Linked DNA regions of Drosophila melanogaster. The protein of the gene in region 2 purifies or fractionates together with the protein of the main gene of each other region. This does not show direct contact. Each region holds a gene or a part of one and is shown on either strand. Other genes may lie near its edges.

Region 1 (4,118 bases), on a different chromosome or scaffold from region 2:
GGCAGCCATTGTTCCTGACGACAATGACGTCGCGCTGCCCGATGTTGGCGTTTTCACTGCACTTCTCAAGGGCTTCGAGCTGCTGCCGCTGGCACTTGATCCTGTTGCAAGGCTGCTCGACTTGATGCGACCGCTGCCGCTGGTGCTGCTGAGGTTGTTGTTGTTCGCCGACGACAACTTGGTCCTTTTTGTATCCTCGACAAGTCCACGCATTTCGCTGCTGCTTCAAAGTACGCCTGAGTAGTGTGTGTGTGTGCGTGGGCGTCCATAAAAATACAGATATATACATATATCGATATTAGCTGTTCAATAAGTTCCGAGTTTCCTTTGCTGCCGCTTTCCCTCAACTGTTTTTTCATTACCTTAGAGGGGTTTTTTCCTTTTGTAAACCTCTTTTCCAGAGGGTTTTACTTCTGAAATTAACAAAATAACCGAAAGTTCTCGCCGCTTTGATTTTGCACCGTTATCCTGTTGTGTACGCGTTGAGTAAGACTGGCAAAAAGTTCTTTATCCTATTGATTTGTCCAGTGCGCCAAGCTCGCAAGCTCCTCGCGAGCTTTCGTTGGGGGTGTTCTCGATGGTCACGCTGTGTGTGGTGCGCAAATCACCTTTGACACTTTCCCAATGCACTTTTAAGTTATTTTTAATCATATTATTTATACAAGTACCGAAATATTTCAACGACAGTTTCGCACAGCCCACGAAATTGCTAATACTAATTAATAAATACATTTTAGAATAGTTTTGAGTACCTAAATTGTTATATTAAATATATATGTGTATATATTTATATATATTATATATAATATATTTTATATATGCAACATTATTACTTAACATATTATTATTAGCGCACAATGGAAATTTGGTTTCCATTGCTGCTTATCATCGAATGAATAATAATTCGGACTCACCGCGTTTCAGTCGCTTTGCTTTCAGTTTCGATGGCGACGGGGATGAAGCACTGGCGCTCGCCACCGTGTCCGGCGCAACAGGTACAACAGGTGGTGCGGGCTCGTCGGGATACGGGTACGTGGTGGTGCCATCGATTACCTCGGAAGAGGCGGCTGCTGCGGCCGCATTCGAGAACTGTGTGGATATGTGGCTGAAGATCTGCGAGGAGATGCTCTCCGTGCGCCGGAAGGTGTTCCGCAGGCGGTCCAGCGATGACGTGGGGGCGCTGGGCGCAGGCGCGGCACCTCCGGTGGTGGGCGTAACCGGAATGGAGACACTCGAGGATTGGGAGTCTTCACTCCTTTCGCGGCGCACCAGCAGATCGTCCGTGCTCATGGCGAATCACTTGCTTCGCGGCGATTATCAGGACACTGTGCGGAGTCACATGAATCAAAATGACGCGATTACAGCCGCTAATTTCGCTTGTTTTGCGCTTGAACGCGGGTAAACAAAAAAGTTTGTCAATACAAAATTAAAACAGCTGTTGCACTGCGATTGGGGATGGGCGATAACAATCACTGGTTACAGATCACGGTTATCGCAGCTCGATGGGAGCTGTTATGTTATTGAACTGACTATGCTTATCGATAAGAAAACTCAAGCAGGTGTTAAAAGCATCATAGGGTGGCAACACTGTGCCCACTTTTACCGCCAAAATAAATTGCTAGGTTTATTTACGAAAATTAAACGCCCAACGAAAGGACAACGAATGGAGGAGGAATTGAAGCAGCAGTTCGACGAGATGGGCGTGGAGCCAGCGGACGCAGTTCTGGGCAGGTGTGCGGAGCTGGCCATTACCTACAACATCCACGACGCCACCGAGTTCGTGGAGCAGTGGATGGCCTTCAGTTTGTCGCACCTCCAAGGCGAGGATCCTGCGATCGAGAATCTGGGCGACTTTGAGCGCAAGGTGTTGCAGCTGCGGAAGGACAAGGCGGGATACAAGGCAACTGGCCAGAAGGCGAAATCATATGGTTCGCCCTCTGTACAGGATACGAGCTCACTGGCCACCTATGGCGTCATGGAGGACGATCCCATGCTGGATGACTATGTCAGCGAATCGGCAGTGGACTCCTCCGCTCTGCACACGCCCAAGGCCAAGAAGCAGTCGGATCGGACCGCCAATCTCAAGGGCGCCGCACTCTTTAGCCCCGCCAGCTATACACCCCAATCGGCAAAGAGGAAAGCAGGTTTAGAAACACCATCCAACTCAGTGGCCGGCAAGCCGGGCGATATAGTTGACACCTTCGGACATCCCAAACTCCTGGCTGGCTCCAGCTGGCAGTCACAAATGGAGCACACGGTTCCGGTGACTCAAAAACTGCTGCACAACGACGCCCCGCTGACCATCGCAAATTTGGGCTACATGAACGACCTGCTGACCGACCGATGTCACAACCTGCGCGTCCGCTTCAACCAAACCGGTCCGGCACTAGTGGACAAGAAACTTGGACAAGCAGGCGCAGCCGAGTGCATTTGGTATCCGCAGGATAGGCAGGTATTGCAGTCCGCAGGTGGACTCCACGCGGTGGGAATGATTCATTCCGAGGACGATGGCCCACTGGACGCCCACTCCGCATTTATGGCCGTTTTAGATGACGATGTAGAAGATGAAATGGACCCAACGCTCACGCTCAACTTCTCCAGGGTCAAGTCTGCCAGCATATTCCCAGGTCAAGTGGTGCTCGCCAAAGGGTTCATACCCAGGGGCAAAACCTTCATGGTAGAGGAGATACACACAGAGCGCAAACTGACGCCAGCAACGCCACTGCAAATAGACAGGGAGCTTCAGTTTGTGGTGGCCTCCGGACCCTTTACGGACAGTACGGATCTCTTCTACGAACCGCTGCACGACCTGCTCAAGTACCTCAAGGATCACAGACCTGACGTGCTGGTGCTCACGGGACCATTCCTGGATGCCGATCACAAGATGGTCGGCGAACTGGCCGAGACCTTCGATACATTCTTCGAGAAGATGATTGGGGGAATAATGGAGTCGATTGGTAGTCACACAGCAGTGCTGGTGGTGACCAGTCAGAAGGATGCCATGGCTCTTTCCGTATATCCAACGCCGCCGCCCGCTCTGCGCAGAACCTATCCAAATCTATACATGCTGCCCGATCCATCTCTGGTGGACTTGGATGGCTTTACGCTGGGCGTTACCTCAACCGACGTGGTGGACCACCTGTTGAGTCACGAGTTTGCTGTGAATGCCGGCGAGCGGATGCACAGGGCCATCAACCACTTGTTCCACCAGGGCTCCTTCTATCCTTTGTATCCGCCGGCGGACGAAGACATGGCCTACGATTCCCAGCTGGCGTTGAAATATGCACAGCTCAAACAGCTACCAAATGTGCTCATCTTGCCCAGCGATCAGCGGCATTTCATCCGCTTGGTCAACGACTGCCTGGTGATCAATCCCGGCCGTGTCGCGGACAAGAAGGGTGGAACTTTCGCCCGATTCCTGGTGGCGCCTTCGGTGCCGGGAAAGGCGGCCAACATGTTCAACAGTGTGGCGTGTCAAGTCCAACGCATCTAACCTGACCACTTTGTGATGATGATAAGGAAAGGATAGTGGGAAATAGATCAGTACAATATTATTAGTTAATATAATGAACACACTACTTTGTCATAACTTTTCACAAAATACATTCAACAACAAACAACTAGCATTAGTTATTTTGGGCCAAAGTAGGTATTGTATTATTTGTAAACATATGCCCTGGAGTTTTCTCAGACTCAAGTTTTATATACAACAAGATCAATAATGGCTAGCAACGTTGCTGCGCCACAAGCTTCAGCTGGAGGAGATTCGACGGAACTGGAGCGCTGTTGCTGGATCTGTTTTGAGACCGATAAGGAGGCAGGTCGCCAGGCTTGGGTGAATCCATGTCTCTGCCGAGGAACCAATAAGTGGGTGCACCAGAGCTGCATTTCCCTCTGGATCGACGAGAAGACCCGAATAAACAACAATCTGCAAGCCGTTTCCTGTCCACAATGCCAAACGGAGTACACCATTGCATACCCGAATCTCTGGATTTTCGATAGGGCTTTGGAGCTGACCAACGATCTTATCCTAACAAACTTATATAATTGCCTGGCCAATGTCTTCACGGTGGTCTTTGCCTATTGGTCAGCGGTTTCATTCGGAGCAAAAACATATT
Region 2 (3,808 bases):
GGAAGGCAGCGGACAGCAGCTTCCCAGCGCCAGCAGAGACGTTGACGTGACGGTGGCTGTGACGTCGCCGACTCCCGCTGCCCGCTGCCAGGAGACGGAAACCTGTGGCATTGCTGCTGGCTCCACTTGACTGCAACTCCAGCTTTCCAGCCACCTACTTGCATAATCGAAAGCGGATGAGGTGCAGCGATTTGGCCGAAAATTTAAGGTTCGATCAACGGCCGTCGAGGGGGTGGGGTGAACGGTACATTTTGTTGGTATACTCATGAAAACGAAACGAAAGCTGCCTGGTCGGTCTCCGGTATGTACAGTGGGACTCTGAAGTGTTGACACAGCTGTTCTAATTTGTGCTTATCTATTGACCTTTCCAAAGCCCTATATTTTAATTTTCCGAATTCTCATCCTATTCAATATTAAAATAAAATCCATAGTTTCGTCTAAAGAACTGAGCAACTTATTTATTTTACTAATAAATACGTATTTATAACCCGTGCCAAACTGTTTTCTGCCACTGTATGCTGTATGCATGTATACGTGTGTGAGCAGCGCACATCGCAGTCGCAGTGTACGAAAATAAACGCTGGCGCAAGCAGAATGGCTGCGGAGCGAGCGAGACAACTACTGCGACGCGACGGCAAAGTACAGCAACTTCAAAAATATCGACTGAGCACAGTCTGCACACCGACAGAGCAAGCAGGGCCGCAGTCCGAGCGCCCGAAAGGGGCGCTCATTTTAGAGCAGATCTTTACAGATAGAAATTAACCTAGGTTTAATTACTAATGAACTGTATTCTAAATGCAACCATATAAATGCAGTAAAAAAAGTTCGCATAAAATGCAATTTATGAGCGGTGCAGCCCGCGCCCACCCTCACACGTATAGATCCCCCCCTGCCATTTCCTAACCATCAGCCAGCTACTGCGCCGCGTCGCCGTTCACTTTTGCGTCGTTTTCTGTCGTCGTCGTCGACTGACTTGTCCCGCCCCTTCGACCTGCGCCCGCACAGAATTAATCAATTGGCTGGGGCTGGTTGGGGCACGGACCGAAGACGGCTGACAGAAAGCAGAAAACCCGTAGCCAAAACCAGCCGAATTTCACTTACCAGGCACACCGAGCGTTTCGGCGATTTGTTTCCAGGTCTGGGCCTTGCGCACAAAGTGCTTGTAATTGTAGTGCGACCTGTCGTATATCACTGGGTTCAGCTTGACAGCCTCGATGAGATTGAGATCAAACTGCTGCTCAAGATTGGCATCCAGCTTGTCCATCTCAATGGCCGCCGTGAGGGTATGCACTGAGGGGACAAGACGGGGAAACAAGAGTTACAAATTTAGCGGGGACGAGACGGACGTGGACTGGGTCGGATCCCAGTTCCAAACTGGGCACACGGGCTCCCGCAGCCGACGACACTCACTTTGCTTCTTACGTTTGCTAATTGTTGTTAAGTATTTGGCGCGAACGCACGCTCTGTTTGTTTTTATTTTGATTGGTTTCTTCTACGAGGAAGGAACGTCGACGTTTTAATTTTATTTCTCAGTCGCGTCTCTGCCAACGGTAACGGTACGTCCCAGCTCAGTCGCGTCTCTGCCAATTAGGGGTGGGAAAACGCCGATGAAGGGGTCATCAGCGCATCGATAATTTTAAAACTCTCATACAATAACAATATGTTATGGCGACTATCGATGTTTCTGATATATCACAACAGCTGCGTAAAGCGTCAAAAGGCTTAAAGTTTTACCATGTTAAGATTTAAGATGTTAAGATCATAATTCGTTCCGAGTTTAGCTCGTTTAAAGAAGGAAGCGTACGACTATCGATAGACGGAGGGCCACCCTTATTTTAGAGGCGCCACCTTTAGGAAATGTGCGGCACCTTTGGCCAGTTGGTATATTGTAACGGTTCGTCTGCGGTCACACTGTTTCTGATTAGACCAAATGAAACAAATGGCGGCACAAAAAGCCTGGACGGATGAGGAGCGTCTGGAGCTGGCGGCCCAGCTGGACGCGGAACTGGATGCGTTTATCGATGGCCTGGAGAAGAAACGTTACGAGGAGGGCTGGCCGGAGGACCGCTGGCAGGAGGAGATGGACAAGCACCCGTTCTTCATGAAACGTGCTCCTCAGCCAGGGGATGACGTGCATCCGATGTTCGAGGGTCTGCAGAAGCTCAAGTACGATCCGGAGGAGAACACGCGCGACGAGCTGGCGCTCAACTACAAGGAGGATGGCAACTTTTACATGAAGCACAAGAAGTTCCGCATGGCAATCTACAGCTTTACCGAGGGCATCAAGACCAAGACGGACAATCCCGACGTGCTAGCCGTTCTCTACAACAACCGCTCGGCGGCTCACTTCTTCATCAAGAACTACAGATCCTCGCTGAGCGACGCCCAGCGAGCTCTGTTCTACAAGCCAGACTACACAAAGGCCCGCTGGCGGTCGGCACAGTGTGCGTACGAGCTGGAGAGGTTCGATCTGTGCACCCAGATGTGCGAGGAGCTGCTCGAGGTGGACGTCGACAACGAGGTGGCCATCGCGCTGCTGCACAAGAACAAGATGAAGAAGGTTAGAATACGTGATCCAACTGGATAGGAACCCACATTAAACAAGTTATTTCCGTAGCTCGAGATAGAACGCAATCAGCGCAAGGAAGCTGCCGAGGCAAAGCGACGGCTTACACGCTTCCACAGACTCCGCGACGCCATCGAGCAGCGCGCCATTAAGTTTGACGATCAAAAAGTTGGCAAAAAGGACGTCCTCAGTGAGGAGCTCCTTTATCCAAAGTTTCTGCCTTTGGAGGACCATCCGGTGCACCTAGACGAGGACGGCAGCACTCTGATCTGGCCGGCTGCGTTCTCCTACCCCGAGTTCCTGTACAGCGACTTTTATCAGCAGCTGCCGGAGACCACCACCATGCGGGATTGCCTGGCGACGCTGCTCACCGAAAAGCTGCCATACGACAAGGCACACAACTACCGCCTGGGTAACGTGCACGTTTACTACGAGAACCGCAAGGTGGGCTGTGTCCACAAGGTGGACGAGGAGAAGCAGCTGGCCGAGATAATCGCCGAAAAGGGGTTTTTCGTTTCCGGTGGCGCTCTGCTCTTCTATGTGGTGCACAAGGATTCGCGAGTGGAACAGGAGTTTATAAACGAACGGCGACGACCCATGGTTTACAGTTAAGACAGTGAGCAAATAAAGTGATTCCTTCTTGAAAACAAACAAACACCTTTTCATTTGCTTGTAAAGTTTACTTCATTTTTGTGGCATATTTTATTTGTAAGCTTATGGTTTAGTCACGGTACAGTTCAGCATTGGTTATGCTATCTTGAAGCATTTTATTGTAAGTTTAACTAATCTCTGATATGTTATGCGAAGCCGAAAAGCGTAGTTCAGGCTACGCCGCCAAAAAATATCTGATGCGGCGTAAGCCCATTTTGGTAGACGATTAATCATCTGTAGAATTGAAAATTGTTTAGCTAAATTTAGTTTTTCTTTAACAACAAGGCGCCTAAATGAGTCAACAATGTGGTTTTTGGTTTAATACGTATAAAAGCGTTTTTGTAAATTTTCATAATTGAGCATATTCTTAGACATTCATCGTTGGTTCACAACAGTAGTAATACTAGGGGACCCCCCAAGTGGATCCGGATATGGTTCGTTAAAATACATTTGACAAAGCAGGATGACCATACATATAAGGCTTAATACTAAGTGCATCGTGGGAAAGCGTATTATATACTCGGATAACATAATAATCAACTTGTCGAACTAATCAGATCACATTCACAAGAAACTACAACATAAATAGCG
Region 3 (6,402 bases), on a different chromosome or scaffold from region 2:
AATGTATACTTATGTCTTCTCGTAAAACAGAGATCGAACGAAGAAATTGTAAATTGTGTAATAAAGTGTGAATTATGTACTTTTTATAAAATCAAAACTCACCCGACCACTGGCCATAATTTTTTCAGCCGGGGCCAATCATTGAACTTGCACTCCTCAAACAAATGACCAAATGTCTCAGCTGACCAACTGGTTTATGCGTTTCCAGACGTAAACGGCAATGGGCAAGATTTCCACAAATTACCAGACATCGTTAGACACATTTTCCGGATCCCAAACGAGTTCTTCAGTTCATTGTGGTTTCTTGTATTTGTTTTCATTGAAATTGCATAAGCCTTAATTGAAATGTTGACGGAAAATGCTTCCTAAATGGTTAAAAGACTTGGAGTTTCTTCGAAATGTCGATGTAATTGATATATAAGCTGATTTCAATTAGCAATAAATAAAAAATCAAACCGCATTGCTAGTATGGCTAGTTTAAATTTGGCGGGGTTTGTCGATATAGTTTACCAGCACTGTTTAAAAATGTCGATAATGACTAGTAAACTTTCTTTACAATTGCCATCTCTAATTGATAAGAAAGGGCAGAGTACATATAAATAAGAAATATATCAATGGTCAGCTAACCAAAGGCAAGAATATAAACAAAATAATGGAGAAAAACAAATATGTACCACGTGTAAATCAGGTGAGCTAATTATGGTGAGCTATTCATGAATTAAAACCACTAAAATTATACATGTTTACCTTTTAGATAGATGCCATCTATTTGAACAAGGACATTGCCCGCCTGATACGCGATAATCTGCTGGAGAACTTGCAAGCCATCTCAGTGAGTATATGAACACTACCATAATTGGCCAATATATACTGTATATCTCTCACAGCCCGTTTTGTTCATCAAAATCCAACCGGAGCTCGACTTGATCATTCAATCCGCAATTTGGTTTGGTTCCGTCGGCAAGCGGTGCTCCACTTTTGGCCAACAGCTACTGGTTCTGGCTTACGATGCCGAAAAGCTGACCGTTTCCAGGCTGGTGCTCCATTTCATCCTGACCGTCTTGCCGGGCTACGTGAAGAGCTGGGAGGAGCGACGCTTAACAAGGCGCGTAGAATGGTTTAGCGAGGCGATTATGTGGGTGGAGAACAGTGCCCTGATACTGAACATCCTCAATTACTTTCGGTTCCTGAAGACAGGACGAAAACCCACTTTGGTGGACTACTTATTGGGATTGGACTACATTAGTCTGCGGAACAATCAAAGGAGAGACATTGGCTACAAGTACCTAACGAGGGAGCTGCTGTGGGGAGGATTTATGGTGCGTGTTAGTTAGTTTGCTTATTATACATATATATTACAGTGTATATTATAGGAAATCCTCGGACTGGTGTTGCCCATCATCAATTTCCGTAAGCTACAAAGAGTGCTAAAATCATGGACATTTTCCGGACGACGGTTAGAGGATAGAGATGGTCCGGCTTTCCTGGCGCCGCAGATGACACTAAGCACCACCTGCACATTCTGTGGAGAGCGACCCACATTGCCCCACCACATGGGCTGTGGTCATATTTATTGCTATTACTGCCTTAATGCAAATGTTTTAACGGATGCCAGTTTCTGCTGCCCCAACTGCGGTTCTGCGTGTCCTGAGTCGGGAATCCAAAGTGTCTGATAAATAGGAATATAGTGCATGTGATGGTTTTATATGTCTTTTATTAGTTTTAAGCGAAAAGTGGGCTGTAAGTAATAAACAAATCATTTTCATATTCCGCCAAATGTGTGTACTTTTAGTGTTAGCAAGCAGAGTAGTGTTGGTAGTCGTACAAAAACAGCTATTATTTACTTGCCCAGTGCCAGGAGTCGTGCGATATAAACTACATAAAAAGTGTATAATTAAACGAAAATAAAAAGCAAAAACTGTTTAGGGCGAAGTATAAAGCCTTGCGGATCCAAAGTTAACTGCTGATTTTCCAAGAACAACAGTTAAGATCAAAAAGTAAGTTCTAAATCCCTATCTTTGGTAAATAAAAAGCGCGCGAAAATATGGGAACAGCTGTTGCATTCTCAACCAGCGTTGCCAAATGTGGCAAATAAATTAAGCAATTATATGAACTCAACTGTTAAGTAGCTCTAACCGTATTTAAGCCACTAGATTAGATAGATAGACTAAGAACATGATTAATATTCATATTTTTTGGGTGGCAAAGCCACACCCAATTTGTTTTGCAATTTCGCGAATCAGCTGCCTGCGGCGATGTGGCAACGCCATTACTTTGTTATTATCTCATTTTTCTGCTGCGCATTTCGTCTTTGTCCGAATTTTTTTGAAGAAAACAATACAATTAATCGCTTCACCAAGAACACGACAAGTAGTTGGAAACCCACGAATTAAACAATTTTTTTGGAGTTGCGTAATTGCATAAAAATAAATAAAGGCATAACCAGCGAAAATAAGAAAACGAGAGCAAACAATTGAAAACAGAAAGTGCTGAAATAATAACAAATACACTTGGCCATCAATTGCGTATATATATAATTGTTTAAATATATTCGCAACGCGAACTGATTTCACATATCAAGGTCAGTAAGTTGACGACTCGCAGCAACAACAATAACAAACCAAGATCCCTTAAAAACCCCCAGGTGAAAATGCTAGATCTGGAGATCGTGCCGGAGATTTCCCTGGGCTGCGATGCCTGGGAATTTGTGCTGGGCATGCACTTCTCGCAGGCTATCGCCATCATCCAGTCGCAGGTGGGCATCATCAAGGGAGTCCAGGTGCTGTACTCGGATACCACTCCCCTGGGCGTGGACATCATTATCAACCTGCCACAGGATGGCGTTCGCTTGATCTTTGATCCCGTCAGTCAGCGTTTGAAGACCATCGAGGTTTTCAACATGAAACTGGTGAAGCTGCGGTATTTCGGCGTATACTTCAATTCCCCGGAGGTGCTGCCGAGTATCGAGCAAATCGAGCACTCCTTTGGAGCCACACATCCTGGGGTTTACGATGCAGCCAAACAATTGTTTGCTCTACACTTTCGCGGGCTGAGTTTCTACTTTCCGGTGGACAGCAAGCTGCACTCGGGCTACGCCCATGGACTGAGTTCTCTGGTTTTCCTGAATGGCGCCTCACCCGTCGTGTCCAAGATGTCTCTCTACGCAGGCAGCAATGTGTTGGAGAACAGGGTACCATCTCTTCCCTTGTCCTGCTATCACCGCCAGATGTATTTGGAATCGGCCACTGTTCTCCGAACCGCCTTTGGTCACACGAAGGGTCTGAAGCTGAAGCTCTTTACTGAGGGTTCAGGAAGGGCTTTGGAGCCACGCCGTCAGTGCTTTACGCGAGAGCTGCTCTTCGGCGATAGCTGCGAGGATGTGGCCACCAGTCTTGGAGCACCCAATCGTATATTCTTCAAGAGCGAGGACAAAATGAAGATACACAGCTCGAGTGTCAATCGACAAGCACAGAGCAAGCGAAGCGATATTTTCTTTAACTACTTTACACTTGGCATCGATGTGCTCTTTGATGCACGGACGCAGACCTGCAAGAAATTCATTCTGCACACCAACTACCCCGGTCACTTCAACTTTAATATGTACCATCGCTGCGAGTTCCAGTTCCTGCTGCAGGCGGATCACCCTTCGATGAGTGATAGTGGTCACGATTTGGTGACGCCGACTAAGCAGGAACATGTGAACATAACCGCCTACACCAAATGGGACGCGATCAGCAGCGCATTGGCCACCTCAGAGCGGCCAGTGGTGCTGCATCGCGCCAGCTCGACGAACACAGCGAATCCGTTCGGCTCCACCTTTTGCTATGGCTACCAAGACCTGATTTTCGAGGTGATGCCCAATAGCCACATCGCCTCGGTAACGCTCTACAATACTGCGCCTCCCAGGCAGCCAGCGCATTCCTGGCAGCAGCACAAAATGCAAGACATTCGCCTCACAGTGGCCTAAAGTTGTGGAATTTACTGGGCTCCTTTCGCTGCTCCATGATGCTGAACAAGGGAAAGCCCGCCGGTCGTGCTCTAATCTTTAAGCTACAACAATGATCTAACATAGCCGTAAAGTAGACACATACATTATATAGTAATATATAGATATATATATATACATGGTAGACGTAGATTTCCAATGTAAGCTAAGCCAATCATCGGACGAACTCTCTGACCAGGTTCATTCTGCGGTATTCCATTGCGATAGCTCGATTCAATTTGTTTCGACCCATAACTGACAATTAATAAGCCTCTTACGTTTAAAAAATGCATGTCGTTAATATATTTCAGTACTTTAAGCTCCAATCGTGTATCTCTCTTTGAAAAAGAAAAAATCAGCAAAAAAATATATAAATATAAGGTTTCGACAAAAAGCTGAATGGTTTTGATTTCTTTACGGTTATAAGTATTCTGTTCTTTTTCTGGATATAATCATAAGATATGTGGTTTATTTTCAGTTTCTTAAAATGCCCGAACAAGTCACAGATCAGGAGAACCAGGCTCCACAGCAGCAGACTACTGCTGTGCATGCCTACAATCCCGAAGTCCTGCAGGATATGTTGCCCGTGTATTACAGGCGCCTCTTTCCCCACCTGCCCTTCTACCGTTGGCTATCGTATGGATCATGTAAGTACACCCAACTACAATCCTTAAAAATAGCCGTTGATCATTATTCTTTTCAGCCGAGGATGCTATCTTTTCCAATCGTGAAATTTCCTTTACACTGCAGGACGATATCTACATACGTTACCTCTGCTTTGATACCCAAGCTGAATTGGAAAAGGAGATCTGCTCGAGGAATCCTATTAAGATTGACATAGGACCAGTAATGCATTCCAAACCCAAAAACCATCGTTCAATTCCTGGCGGCTTAACGCCCGTACAACGTGAACTCGTTTTTGATATAGATATGACGGATTACGACGAGGTGCGTACCTGTTGCTCTGGAGCAGGGGTATGCCTGAAATGCTGGAAGTTTATGGTGCTGGCTGCCAGGGTTTTGGATGTCGCTTTGCGCGAGGATTTCGGTTTCGAGCACATAATCTGGATTTTCTCAGGTAGACGAGGTATCCATTGCTGGGTTTGCGACTACCAAGCCCGTCACTTGGACGGACGTGGTCGCTATGCTGTGGCGGAATACCTTAACATTATTACCTATGCCAGTTTCGCGGGCGGCAATTCACCCAGATGTTCAATGGGAGACCGACCGCATCATAGCCTAAAGAGAGCCTTAAAGATAGTGGAGCCCATGTTCGAGGAGATTGTACTAGAGGATCAGAATCTTTTTGGAACTCCCAAGGGAGTTACCAAACTTCTTAACATGGTCCACGATGACGCTGCGCGTGGCGAACTAGAATCTTATATGCAAAAGAATTTGGAGGATGGAGCACACTCGCGACTCGTTTGGGAGAGCTTCATTAAGTACGCCAACTCTATGAGAACATCCACGACAAGTGCCTGGAGTCGCAAGCTGAAGAACATTGTAGCCGAAATCCAGCTTGGACTGCTCTATCCTCGTTTGGACATCAATGTCACTAGGGGATTCAATCATTTGCTAAAGGCACCGTTTTGCATTCATCCAGCCACTGGAAAAGTGTGCGTTCCGTTTAGTGTGAGTGCTGTGGCCAAGTTTGATCCCACCACAGTGCCGACGATCACCCAGTTGCTTCACGAGATCAACGCTTTCGATGATAAGAGCAAGAGCTACATGGAGGCGCCGGAGGATAAGAGCCGCATCAAGGATCACAAGAAGACTAGCATGTTCAAGGGTGTCGTGGTTTTCGAGGAGTTCCTGCGAAAACTGGAGCGCAGCCAGAAATCTGCCAGCTTGCAGTTTTGATTCTAATTTTACAAACTAACATAAGAAAATAAAAGGTTAATGAATATTTCAGTATGCATACACTTTCTCGTTTGCCGCTTGCGTATTTATCTTTATTAAGTTTTTGTATTGTAATCATTAGGCTAGCAACAATAAATAGTCTAGGCGACATCGCACCGGTTCCGGTTCACAATCCGGCTCTCACATGCAGCGCAGTCGCACCAGCGGCACCACGTTGCCGTCCTTATCGTCCACATCTACCTCAACCTCTAGCTGGTAAAGCCCATCCTCCGGTATCGTGCTGTCGGGCAGACGGGCCAGGATCTCGCTCTCCCCGGTGCGCAGCTTAAACGAAGCAGCTGCTTTGCTTACGTCGTCACCCTTTCCCTCCTCTGATTGGGGCAGTGATATCCGTATTTTGGCAGGCAGAACGCTCCCCCTGCCCAGGACCAATTTGGCGTTGGATTCGTCATTACCGTGCCAAATGAAGAGGTCATCCTCAGCCACCACGCAATCCTCCTCCTTGTGAAGCTGCTGTTCGAGGGGGTCAATCAGGCACACAGCTTGGCGCGCGCAGC

Evidence for each region. The genes of interacting proteins can lie anywhere in the genome.
Region 1: the proteins of Dpit47 (region 2) and PolA2 purify together in Drosophila melanogaster (affinity purification with western blotting, with the first as the bait; one study listed by BioGRID). This does not show direct contact.
Region 3: the proteins of Dpit47 (region 2) and Prim1 purify together in Drosophila melanogaster (affinity purification with western blotting, with the first as the bait; one study listed by BioGRID). This does not show direct contact.

Annotation. Positions count from the first base shown.
Region 1 is NT_033777.3:27,237,611-27,241,728, forward strand, and holds PolA2 (DNA polymerase alpha subunit 2), read left to right. Parts: upstream 1-1,552; 5' UTR 1,553-1,663; coding exon 1,664-3,493; 3' UTR 3,494-3,618; downstream 3,619-4,118. Other genes in the region: CG31064 (uncharacterized protein), read right to left, coding at 1-213; CG17991 (uncharacterized protein), read left to right, coding at 3,722-4,118. UniProt on the Drosophila melanogaster protein: Accessory subunit of the DNA polymerase alpha complex (also known as the alpha DNA polymerase-primase complex) which plays an essential role in the initiation of DNA synthesis.
Region 2 is NT_033778.4:6,660,051-6,663,858, reverse strand, and holds Dpit47 (DNA polymerase interacting tpr containing protein of 47kD), read left to right. Parts: upstream 1-1,740; 5' UTR 1,741-1,930; coding exon 1,931-2,560; intron 2,561-2,617; coding exon 2,618-3,178; 3' UTR 3,179-3,214; downstream 3,215-3,808. Other genes in the region: Adf1 (Adh transcription factor 1), read right to left, coding at 1,102-1,290, 1,411-1,411. UniProt on the Drosophila melanogaster protein: May act as a co-chaperone for HSP83.
Region 3 is NT_037436.4:8,338,503-8,344,904, forward strand, and holds Prim1 (DNA primase subunit 1), read left to right. Parts: upstream 1-1,811; 5' UTR 1,812-1,997; intron 1,998-2,282; exon of another isoform or gene 2,283-2,581; intron 2,582-2,644; exon of another isoform or gene 2,645-2,650; coding exon of another isoform or gene 2,651-3,967; exon of another isoform or gene 3,968-4,374; intron 4,375-4,463; 5' UTR 4,464-4,472; coding exon 4,473-4,632; intron 4,633-4,688; coding exon 4,689-5,845; 3' UTR 5,846-5,902; downstream 5,903-6,402. Other genes in the region: Pex2 (peroxin 2), read left to right, coding at 653-688, 755-832, 888-1,319, 1,374-1,673; CG7083 (uncharacterized protein), read left to right, coding at 2,651-3,967; CG7182 (uncharacterized protein), read right to left, coding at 6,026-6,402. UniProt on the Drosophila melanogaster protein: Catalytic subunit of the DNA primase complex and component of the DNA polymerase alpha complex (also known as the alpha DNA polymerase-primase complex) which play an essential role in the initiation of DNA synthesis.